Xenopus tropicalis: one gene and its partners. The protein of the gene in region 1 interacts with the protein of each later gene in a biochemical or structural test. Links are inferred from orthologs where the notes say so. Each region holds a gene or a part of one and is shown in the gene's direction. Other genes may lie near its edges.

The links.
Region 2: the proteins of pard3 (region 1) and jam2 form a complex in vitro, tested with the Homo sapiens proteins (2 studies listed by BioGRID and IntAct, with this or other methods). The link is inferred for Xenopus tropicalis from reciprocal best matches to the Homo sapiens genes PARD3 and JAM2.
Region 3: the proteins of pard3 (region 1) and jam3 form a complex in vitro, tested with the Homo sapiens proteins (2 studies listed by BioGRID and IntAct, with this or other methods). The link is inferred for Xenopus tropicalis from reciprocal best matches to the Homo sapiens genes PARD3 and JAM3.

The regions. Positions count from the first base shown.
Region 1 is NC_030682.2:21,860,452-21,864,105, forward strand, and holds part of pard3 (partitioning defective 3 homolog), read left to right. Parts: intron 1-3,012; coding exon 3,013-3,395; intron 3,396-3,654. UniProt on the Homo sapiens protein: Adapter protein involved in asymmetrical cell division and cell polarization processes. Seems to play a central role in the formation of epithelial tight junctions. Targets the phosphatase PTEN to cell junctions.
Region 2 is NC_030678.2:18,672,697-18,676,908, reverse strand, and holds the start of jam2 (junctional adhesion molecule B), read left to right. Parts: upstream 1-1,393; 5' UTR 1,394-1,416; coding exon 1,417-1,468; intron 1,469-4,212. UniProt on the Homo sapiens protein: Junctional adhesion protein that mediates heterotypic cell-cell interactions with its cognate receptor JAM3 to regulate different cellular processes. Plays a role in homing and mobilization of hematopoietic stem and progenitor cells within the bone marrow.
Region 3 is NC_030683.2:67,503,883-67,507,536, reverse strand, and holds part of jam3 (junctional adhesion molecule C), read left to right. Parts: coding exon 1-17; intron 18-1,611; coding exon 1,612-1,814; intron 1,815-3,654. UniProt on the Homo sapiens protein: Junctional adhesion protein that mediates heterotypic cell-cell interactions with its cognate receptor JAM2 to regulate different cellular processes. Plays a role in homing and mobilization of hematopoietic stem and progenitor cells within the bone marrow.

The DNA.
Region 1 (3,654 bases):
TAACTATTAAATAAACCCAATAGGGCTGTTCTGCCCCCAATAAGGGGTAATTATATCTTAGTTGGGATCAAGTACAGGTACTGTTTTATTATTACAGAGAAAAGGGAATCATTTAACCATTAAATAAACCCAATAGGACTGTTCTGCCCCAATAAGGGGTAATTATATCTTAGTTGGGATCAAGTACAGGTACTGTTTTATTATTACAGAGAAAAGGGAATCATTTAACCATTAAATAAACCCAATAGGGCTGTTCTGCCCCCAATAAGGGGTAATTATATCTTAGTTGGGATCAAGTACAGGTACTGTTTTATTATTACAGAGAAAAAGGAAATTATTTTTATAAATTAGAATTATTTGCTTATAATGGAGTCTATGGGAGATGGCCTTTCTGTAATTCGTAACTTTCTGGATAACGGGTTTCCGGCTAAGGGATCCTATACCTGTATCTACATTATGATATATATGATATAGACTTATACATGTAATACAGTAACAGGTGCAGTGTTTGCTCCTGTTATGGTAACCCTAAGCAACCAAACAGCAGGACCAATTACAGTTCTGCTGTTTGAAAGTTAACCAATGATTGGTTGCTATGGGTTACAATGCATGTTTTATGACATTGCTTCCTGCGCCACAGGTCCAATTCATTACCGGGTTTAATACAATAAATCAGTATGATGCATGACCCCCAAGATGAAGCACCTGTGACCACAGATGGACTCAGAACCCCCAGTATGAGCCGTGCTTGTCTAGACGACACTGCTTCTTGTTTACAGATTGCCATGATCCTTTGGGGAGTTAGCAATTTAGCTTAGCCTGCTCAGGGAAAGTGCTGAAAGATAAAGAAAATGGTTCTGTTTTTATTGCAAATTCATTGCTACAATCCACTAACAGCAGGGGTAAGTTTTGAGGTTGTTTTTACAGCCCAGCATGATAATCTAATACATTCCCGCGTTCTGCTTTTATACCGTGTGTTGTGTGACTGGATTTTATATCCATCCTCACTCCTTTCTCTCAACAAGATATTCCCTGTGCACAGGCAGAAATATACACTAGTAAATCCTGTAGTGCTCATGTACCCAGAACGTTAAGCACATCTCATTTATCATGTACTTTTCGTAAATATTTATAAAGCTGTTGGCCAATAATTCATTTAGAGTGCAAACTGCCAGTGTAAAACTGACATTTATGGCATTACCTGTATCGTAAAAATACAACATGAAAGGCTCTAGGTTTAATATTGCCAGTTAGCCAGCCTGTCATAAAGTCCAGCACGCTTGCCTTGGATCATACATAGGGCAAGATTAGATCTATCTATACTCTGGGACAAGCTCCTATAAACATAGATGTACATTTACTTAGGGCCCATTTTTCCCCTATCAAATCTTTGTGATGCCCAATCACTAGACCAACGACCATCCGAGTATCAGGTAAAACTTCTCATTTTATTGGAACTTGATTAAAACCTTATTGGGAATTGTTATAAGGTTATGGAATCATCACATGTATTTAAACGCATGCTGAACAATGCCACTTGGACCCCATGTATGTGCCGGGGGTTACCCGCTGGCTATAGTCTTCTTCCCATTTGATCTGTAGACCCTGCATGCTCGACTGGATTAAACACACCGTACCCCAACTGTGCAGTCAGACTTTATAGACAAAATCTCATAAAAGCTAGACTTTGTCAGATTCCTAAACACTGCAACTTAAGATCAATATTTATTTATTAAAACCCACAAATCAAATCCCCCCCAGGTTAGAATCCAGGAGGTTTCAACAGATGCTAACAGTGAGTTTGCGGCACAGACAATCTTAAAAGTCCTCTTATTGCTCCTTCTTTTGTACTAAAATAAAGTATGCAAATAAAACAACTGTCAGGTTGGCTTTATGCACTCAGGATAGCATTTATTAAATGCTCCTCTAATGTAAAACCACTCGCAGCACTAACGGCTTCCCCTGCGATGAATGAATAACACATGTTAATATGCAGGGGAAGAGGCCCGGGGGACACCCTGGCAAACGTGTTAGGTCTTAGACACCTTACAGTCTCTTGCCCTGGGGGAAAACATATTGGTTAAATGTGGCCATAGCATTTTATAGTCCGACATAATAGGGTTTCGTAGCGCACTACAGAGCTCTTAAACTCTGGCGTTTTCTCATGCGAGTTATTAAGCACAATAAACAGCCCTATCATAGGTTGAATGCACTCGACTCATTTATGGCTTGTATGAAATACAAATTCCTACCTTCATGCACACCCATAGGCTATTAGCTGACCTCAGGTCTTACAGATGGAAACAAATGGGAATAACAGTCCCTATCTTTGAATAGGATTCATCTGTTTTTCTTTAGCTTGCCTCTACCCCCTTCCTTTTTAAAATTTCCCCTTTGCATCTTTCTAATGGAAACAATAAAAGCTTAGTTTGTAATAACCTTCTGTCGTATGAAGGTGGTACTGTCTTAGTTTGCAGCCTTAGTTGGCATTGTGTCACTGGCTGTCTTGCTTCCATAGCCCTCCTGTTCTATAATCTTTCACAAAGCCGAGTGACCTAGAGGGGATATGGAAATGGCATCATAAGGTCACAGGGAAATAAGTTTTCCTTGTAGAAAGATCAATAGCTGATTGTCTGAACAAAGAGAAGGTAGCAATCACAGTCAGCTGTTGGCAGGTGTTGGCTACATGCCATATTGCATGCCGTCTTGCCACGCAAGCGTCTCTTTAAGCAGAAGTTGCCAGTAGTATCATTAATAAAGTCACATTTACGATGAGTGCCATAGGCGGTACAAGTATGGCCACTGGATAGTCTCTTGTTCTGTGTGGCCAGCTCAGCAAGTGGGTTCTCAGTTAAGTTCTCAGAATGGACTTATCTCATTTAGCACAATACTGGGATTTTCTGTTGCTGTAGATAGTAGAATTATGTGTAAGGATCCATAACTATCTGTTTTGTCCAGTCAGTTCTATTTTAGTGCATTTGCCAATCTGTATTCCCTGTTTTGTTGTTCTAGAGCACAGAATATGTTCCGCCAAGCCATGCGCTCACCCATAATCTGGTTCCACGTGGTCCCAGCGGCAAACAAAGAACCATATGAACAGTTATCTCAGAGCGAGAACAACAGCTACTACTCCAGTCAGCACGTGCATGATTCCCAGTACATGGACTCCAGGAGTTTCTCTAGCCCCGGCCCTGATCACACTGCGCAGAGAATGCCCAGGCAGAGCAGCCAGGCCGATCCAATGGACTCTTACTCTCATCTACCTCAAAGTATCAATTCAGCAGGAAAACCACCCACTGGCCTGACCACATCCCCGCAGCGTGCAGTCAGCCCCCCCACCAACAGCGCTTACGGTACCAAAAAGGGAAAGAAGTTTTACATTCAGCTGAAGAAAGGTAAGTAGTGCAACAATAGCCATAGCTTGAAGGCTTGAATGTTTTATTACAGGTAGGAAACCATAAATGCCTCTGTTGGGCACCATCTATAGAGAGAATGTAAGTGGGGATGAGGGTTTAAAGATAAAATAGGCACCCCATTTTAACATGAGCTTATCAGTTGGGCTTAATTAAAAAAGGTGCATAAACAGTACCTGAACTTACAAGTGAATATAAATGTATTTATTTTTACACAGACAGCATATTGGAGGAAATACAT
Region 2 (4,212 bases), on another chromosome or scaffold:
TTATTTGGCTCCTCCATGAACTTTTATGATGCTTGTGTTGACTTGGGCTCACAAGTAAGAAAGGATGGGGACCCCTGGCTTAAAGGGAACACTGGTTATGTGACCAAAAAAATGACATTTTTTTGTCTGGATTCTGCATTATATATTGCTCAGATCTAAATATGTAATTCATTTTTCCAGAAAATCTTTTGGAGGATTGAGCAGTATGGTGTCTTAGTGGTTAGTACTGATTGTAGTGCTAGGGGTCCTCAGTTCAAATCAAGACAGGGCGCTATCTGCAAGGAGTTGTATGTTCTCCCTGTGTCTACAGGATCAGACTAAGCCGGTGGGACACTGAGAAAAAAACCCGGTGGGCCCCACTGACCCAGACCCCATCACCACCGGGAAGCATCATATCTCCCCTGCTGCTCTCCCTCCCCAGATTGAGCCTAGGTAAATATGAGATATATGCGCTGGGGAGGGGTGGATGGCAGTGGTCGGGTGTCAAGGGCCCCTAAGGGTGTTAGGGGGCCCCAGTGGGCCCCACACACCCCAGTTCCACCCTGTGTGCAGTGTCGGTCGAGATCCGATCCCCCCAGGGTGCTCCCATGATTCGCCATCTCCCTCCCCCGACCCGACGCAGGTAAGTTTCTTTTAGGAGAGCTCGGGGGTGGGGGTCGGAGGGTGTTGGGGGCCTCTGCGGGGGGGGGGGGGCAGTGAAGGCGGCAGGGGCCATTTGGGGGTGCAGGGTCTCCTGAGGCAGAAGTCCCGGTGGGCCCTGCACCCCCTAGTCTGACCCTGCCTGTGTGTTTTTGTGGGTATCTTTATAAATACAGGCCGGTAATTTATCAGTAGGGGCCTCAGATTGTAATCTTCACTGGGGCAGTGAGTGATGTATAATCTCTGTAAAAGCTCTGTATAAATAAATGATACTAAAGATTAGGATTTGGAGCATCCCCAATTCTTAGAACAAATATCTGAAAGCATTTTTATCACAAAGCATTTGTTGGTTTCCGCAGCCACACTCCATTATTTGTTACAGTACAAAACACAAGCTTTCAAAAGCGACGCAGGGTATGCTGGGATTTGTAGTCCAACAGACAGGTAGGACCAATAACAACGCTAAAGTATATTCTGTACATAGTGTTTTTATGCAGCGGAATGAGCAGTCTGATAGAAGAATGAAGAAGAATGGAAGTGGTTTATAAATAAATGTACTTTCACACTTCAGCCAGCGCTGAGCAGGGAGAGATTACAGGGAGGGGATGCAGAGCAAGCGGTGGTTGGAGGGCGCTATTAGCGGCGCTGCGGGTAGGGGGCGCCAGAGCGGCACATTCCTGTGCATCCCGCACTTCCCCGTTACAAGGTGCCTGCCCCTCTCACTGTTGGCTGTGCCGCTCGGTCTGCGCTTATTCTCTCATCTAACGGACTCGGAGGATGCGGTCTCCAGCCTGTGCGATCTTTCTCGGCTACTTTGCGGCGCTTTGCTGTAAGTTTCTGGGATCTTTACTGAACTCCGCTGCTTTGGGCGCTTTCTGTCGGCACTTTGTGCTCTGTGTGTGTCGGGGGGTTGTGAAATCCGGGCTGGGAGCCTTTGTCCTGCCTGCCTGCCCGCCTGCCCGCCTGCCCACAGGGACCCTCACTCCCATACTTTCTGCATCCCCCCTCATGGGCTACATGTTTCCCTGCTCTGCCTGCATGCCGGGGATTGGCTGCTGCTACTGCCAAATTCTCTATTAGGCTATTAGTGCCGGTCTGACTTAGAATATTATATACTGCTGGCTCCATGATCCGCTATTACATCATTATTGCTCTGTGTGACTTTATTTATTATATTTCTGCCCCCAGGATTCTGTATGACATCATTAGTGTTCTGTGTGACTTAATTTATTATATTTATGACTTTGGGATTCTGTATGACATCATTTCTGCTCTATGTGACTTAATGTATTATATTTCTGACTTCAGGATTCTGTATGACATCATTAGTGTTCTTTGTGACTGAATTTATTATATTTCTGACTTCAGGATTCTGTGTGACATCTTTAGTGCTCTGTGTGACTTTATTATAATTCTGCCCCCAGGATTCTGTATGACATCATTAGTGCTCTGTGTGACTTTATTTATTATATTTCTGACTTAGGGATTCTGTGTGACATCATTTCTGCTCTGTGTGACTTAATGTGTTATATTTATGACTTCAAGATTCTGTATGACATCATTAGTGTTCTGTGTGACTTAATTTATTATATTTCTGACTTCATGATTCTGTATGACATCATTAGTGTTCTGTGTGACTTAATTTATTATATTTCTGACTTCATGATTCTGTATGACATCATTAGTGTTCTGTGTGACTGAATTTATTATATTTATGACTTCAGGATTCTGTGTGACATCATTAGTGCTCTGTGTGACTTTATTGTATTTTTGACTTCAGGATTCTGTATGACATCATCAGAGCCCTGTCTAACCTAGAATATTATTTTGCCAACTTTTATAAGAAGCCTGGCACATTTTAACCATATTAAGTCCACCAGCCTACTCCCAGCATGCACAGTGGTTATTAAATATGGGCATCAACTTAAAATGGACTTGATATTCTGGTACAGACTGTTCATACTTTTTCAAGATTCCAGTATTTACTCTTAGGGTGAAGACACAGAGCTACTAGTAGCAGCTACAGAAATAGACAATGCTGACTATGTATTGATAATTGAGGCATATCTCAGTATTGTCTATGGCAGGGTATTTTCTGGCATTTAGTAGCCGTGAAATGTTGCTGCTACTAAGTAGCTCTGTGTGCCTTCACCCTTAGAGTTTAAATGAGCAGTGGCACAAAGGGTGGACTGCATTACCTGTGCAATGTAGCGGAGCATTGATAAGGGCGTAGATATGTTCTTACCTTTGGGGGAACCTTGGGTATTGTATTTGCAGCATGTGCTTCCCTGTGTGACTGGGGTATATACAGGTATCGGACCCCTTATCCGGAAACCCATTATCCAGAAAGTTCCGAATTACGTAAAGGCCATCTCCCATAGACTTCATTTTAATCAAATAATTCACATTTTCAAAAGTGATTTCCTTTAATAATTTATCTGTAATAATAAAACAGTACCTTGTACTTGATCCCAACTATATATATATATATATATATATATATATATATATATATAGATATAATTAATCCTTATTGGAGGCAAAACAATCCTATGGGGTTTATTCAATATTTAAATGATTTTTAGCAGACTTAAGCAGTGGAGATCCAAATTACGGAAAGACCCCTTATCCGGAAAACCCAGGTCCCGAGCATTATGTATAATGGGTCCCACACCTGTACTTAGTGCCAGTTTGGACTGTGACCCAAAGGGAAGTCTTTTTGGACACAAGTGGTTTATGCCAAACTGATTTACAGCAAATGGCTTTAAAGGGAGCTATCCGTTGTTATACTGCTGTTTAGGTTTATTTTATCCTAATATTTTAGGGGGGTAACAAGTGTATCTGCCATACCCAGCGGGGGCTCTCAGGCTCCAATCATTTTTCCAGGATGGTAGTTCAGCCACCTGGGGGATACAGTTCTGCAACAGCTGGGGGGCCAACAGGTTAGATATGAGTCTGGGTTACACCCTGCATGCCTCTGTATCCCTGCAAATAAACTGGATTATTTGATGGTAAAAATAAAGGAGATGGTTAGCAGATCACATGGTTTAAATGACTTTGCTGTTTCCAGCCATTAGGGAAATAGATGCACGTGTGCGACGGGGAGATTAGGGGACGCGCTGCTGCTGCTGCTGCTAAATCCACTCTCGGAAAGTTTCTTTGCTAGTGACCCGTTTCTCTCTCTCACACATCTATATTCAGGTTGCTCTGAGTGACCTATTTCTCAGTTACATATATGTACAGGTTGCTCAGCTCTCACACACGTGTGTACAGGCTGCCTGTGTCTCATTCACATGTATGGGCAGATTGCGAGTGGCCGGCGTCACATTCACATACATGTGCAGATTGTGCAAGATAGAATGTGCATCTTGCTCCATTTTTAGCATTTTTAAACTGTCTTTCCATTGCTCCTGCAATTTTTAGCAACTTTGCAATATACATCAATGAAAAATATGCAGCCTTTTTATGATTTTTAATGTAATAATATGGTTTGGAACAGTTCCCTAAGCCCCGCCCCCTGTTCCCCTGCTGATCTGGCTGACTACTTTTCAGTCTCAAAAAAAATGTAACAGT
Region 3 (3,654 bases), on another chromosome or scaffold:
CTTCTTGACTGTACAAGGTGAAGAGCATCATGACCTTACTCCTTTCATCTGGACTATAGCTGTAAACCTATTTGTAGAATACATTGTAGAATTAACAGAACTAGGAAAATACCCCTTTTCCATTTTTAAAATTCTAGAAATGGATACAACATTAACCAATGATGCAAAGAAAACATGTTGGCTGCTGACTATTCAATACTATTCAAAACTGTGACAGGGGGTCAGTTCACCTTTTTACAGGGAGAGTCGAAAACAGGGAATTATTTGCAAAAAGATGCATTCATTTTTTTTCAAGAAAAACACATTCATTCCCTTACATTTGAGCCTATTGACATGATCTTAAAGACATTCTGGACATTAAAGGGATATTGCACCTGGAATTAAAAAACAATGCACTGGGAAGGCCTGTTAAATGGTGCACTCTCTCTTTATGATTGGCATTAGCAGGTACTTTTACTTTGTGTAAGTTTGAATTGCACAGAATCGGAAAAGTTCTAGTGCTTTGATTAGTAAGTGGATCAAGGCTCTTTTGCACTGTGTAGTATCATCACACCCAAAGTATATACATAAGATACTATGGGGCCGATTCACTAAAGGTCGATAAAACGAGTGCTATTTATAACATGCGTTAAAAATTTTATCGCGTCTTATTTTTTGCGACTTAATACACGATTCACTAAAAGGACAGGCGTCATAATTAAGACGCGATGTTCTTTGCATTATTTAACTCGCGATGAGTTTTCTTGCGTTATTTTCTGCCTCGTGCATTATTTCCCACTGTGTGCGATATATTTTGCCGCGTGCGATATTAGCGTATGATTTTATGCATGTAACCATTACTTTTGGAAAATTGCTTTTCTGAAAATTACCATTTGCCTGAAAACTGGAGGATGCATCACTCTAGGGCCAACACATACCTGAAAAAATCCCACTGCAAAGTCCATGTTGTGTTGCCAAAAGCTCACGAACCACAATTCTTTAAGTACTGCCTGCCCCAAGTAGGTGTTAATTTTCGCACAGACTAATGCGATATTTAGCGTATTTAAGCTTCATATGTGTTTGTGAATAATGCGTTAGTATTATATCTATTCTAGAATTAACGCAATGCGAGGTAAATAACGCATTGCGCTAATTTAGTGCGTTTTTTTGTGCATGCGATATGCGTCTTAGCGCATGCTAAATGACTTTGATGAATCAGTACTTATTTATCACATGCTTTTTAACGCAAAAAAGCATGCGATAAGCGTTATCGCACTTTAGTAAATCGGCCCCTATTTTAAACCTAATAGAAGTTGGATGTGTCATAGATGGTGAACCTTGTGCATAGTATGTAAATGGCTCATCTACTGAAAGCATTGGACTGAGCTACATTTAAGTCTTCCAAAAACATTCTGATTTGAAGCTTGGCTGTATATGTTATGTCACCCTTGCTTCTCATGATAATGTTGCACTGTGCTCCATTCTTTTCAGCCTTTCATAGTTTTCCTTAGTTTACTGTTTATAAGATGCCATGGGATTTCCTCTATCAGTGTAATAATATGATATATTAATCTGCCAATTTTTAGTTTCAAGTTTTTTTCTTAATAAACGCCATGGCCTTTTACATTTCAGTGAAGCCAGTAATTCCGCAATGTAGAGTGCCTAAAGCTGTCCCAGTGGGCAAATCTGCTGTACTTCATTGTCAAGAGAATGAGGGTTACCCAAGTTCTGTGTATCGCTGGTACCGCAACAGTGAAGCTCTACCTGATGACTCAAAATCAACTTTGAAATTCCAGAACTCATCCTTTACACTTGACCCTAAATCAGGTACTCTGGTAAGTATCTAGTATAGTTTGTAATTGTCAGATCTTTTTTTTTTTTATTAGAACCACACTAAAATTAAAGGACTTAACCCCTATAAATATCCAATCACATAATCATCAAAAAATCTAAATAGTCAGTATTTATTCATTAAAATACCTATCCCATAAAATCAAACACAGGGAGTTTGCAATAAGTGAAAAATTTAACAACTAACAGTGCTCTTCCTCCGGGACAAACCACTTTTTCACTTATTGCAAAGTCCCTGTGTGTGCGGCCTTTATATATAAATATAATATATATATATATACACACAAATAAATTCAAATAAAACTAGAAAGGGAAGTTTGAGAACAAACTTCATGTTGGGTTGAAAAATGTGAAGTCACTGAATGAAATCTGATTGTTTGTTGACTCCGCCCACTTTTTCTAACCTTGGGCCACAGTTACATAGTAAGAACCACTGTGAAAAGTTTGGGGACCCTGGTTTTAATAGTGTCTGAATGGCAGCAATTTAAATTTCCCCACTGAAAGTCAACAAGTGAAATCTGATTTGTGGTTGGTAGCTGCAAAGTTTAGGGACCCTAGGATTAATAGTTAAAGAACGGCGGCAGTTTAAATTTAAACCAGTAAAAGTCAATAGGTAAATTGTGGTTGGTGGGTGTGCCCACTTTTTGTAACCTTGAGTTGAAGTCACCCTGTGACAAACAGTGGGCACCCTGGCATAAATAGTGTGAGAATGACAGCATTTTAAATTTAAACCAATAAAAGGATGAAATCTGATTGGCTGTTAGTGGCCCAACCCACTTTTCCTGGTCCCCCAGTGACCAGCTTTGCAAAAAACACTGCATAAAAATTGTGAGACTGACAGCATTTTACACTTCACCATTGAAAGTAAATAGGTGAAATGCGATTGGCTGTTGGTGGCTCCGCCCACTTTTTTCTAACTTTGAATGGCAAATACCCAGTGACTAACTCTGAAAAGTTTAACAACCCTGGAATTAATACTTAAATAATGGCATCAGTTTAAAGTTTAAATATAAACCAATGAAATTTAATGGGTGGAAATGGATTGGCTCTGCCCACTTGTTTTAACCCTGAATATGTAGTCAGCCTGTCACTGATTGTGTAACATTTGGGAACCCTGACATAAATAGTGTGAGAAAGGCAGCATTTTAAATTTAACCAAAAAAAAAAACCAATAGGTCTAGTCTGATTGGCTGTTGGCTCCACCCACTTTTTTAAACCTAAAAATGCAGTCCCCTAGTGACCTGGTGTTAATACTGTGAGAATGTCAGCAAGTTGAATTTCCTCTTTGAAAATCAATAGTTAAAATCTGATTAATCCCCATTAAAAGTCAATAGGTCAAATTTGATTCACTGTTTGTGGCTCCGCCCACTTTTTCTAACCTTTAACCGCAGTTACCTGGTGCCTAACTCTGCAAAGTTTGGGGACCCCGGTGTTATTACTGTGAGAATGGCAGCAGGTTGGATTTCCTCCAAGTCAATAGGTAAAATCTGATTGGCTGTTCACAGCTCTGCCCACTTTTGGGCATCCAACAATCATCATATTTTCATTCAGGCTGACCCCATGACTATGTGATTCAAGTTTGGGGAGTGTAGCCTTAAAGCTGTAAGATTGGCAACAGTTTCAATTTCCCCATGAAAGTCAATGGATGAAATTTTATTGGCTGTTGTTGGCCCTTCCCACTTTGGGGTCATCCAACAAAGTCGCTGTTTCATTCGGGGTGACCCCATGATTATGTTATTCAAGTTTAGGGAGTGAATCTTCAAAGCTGTAAGTGTGGCAGCAGTTTGAAAGTCTTCCCTGTCAAAGTCAATGGGAAAATTGGGG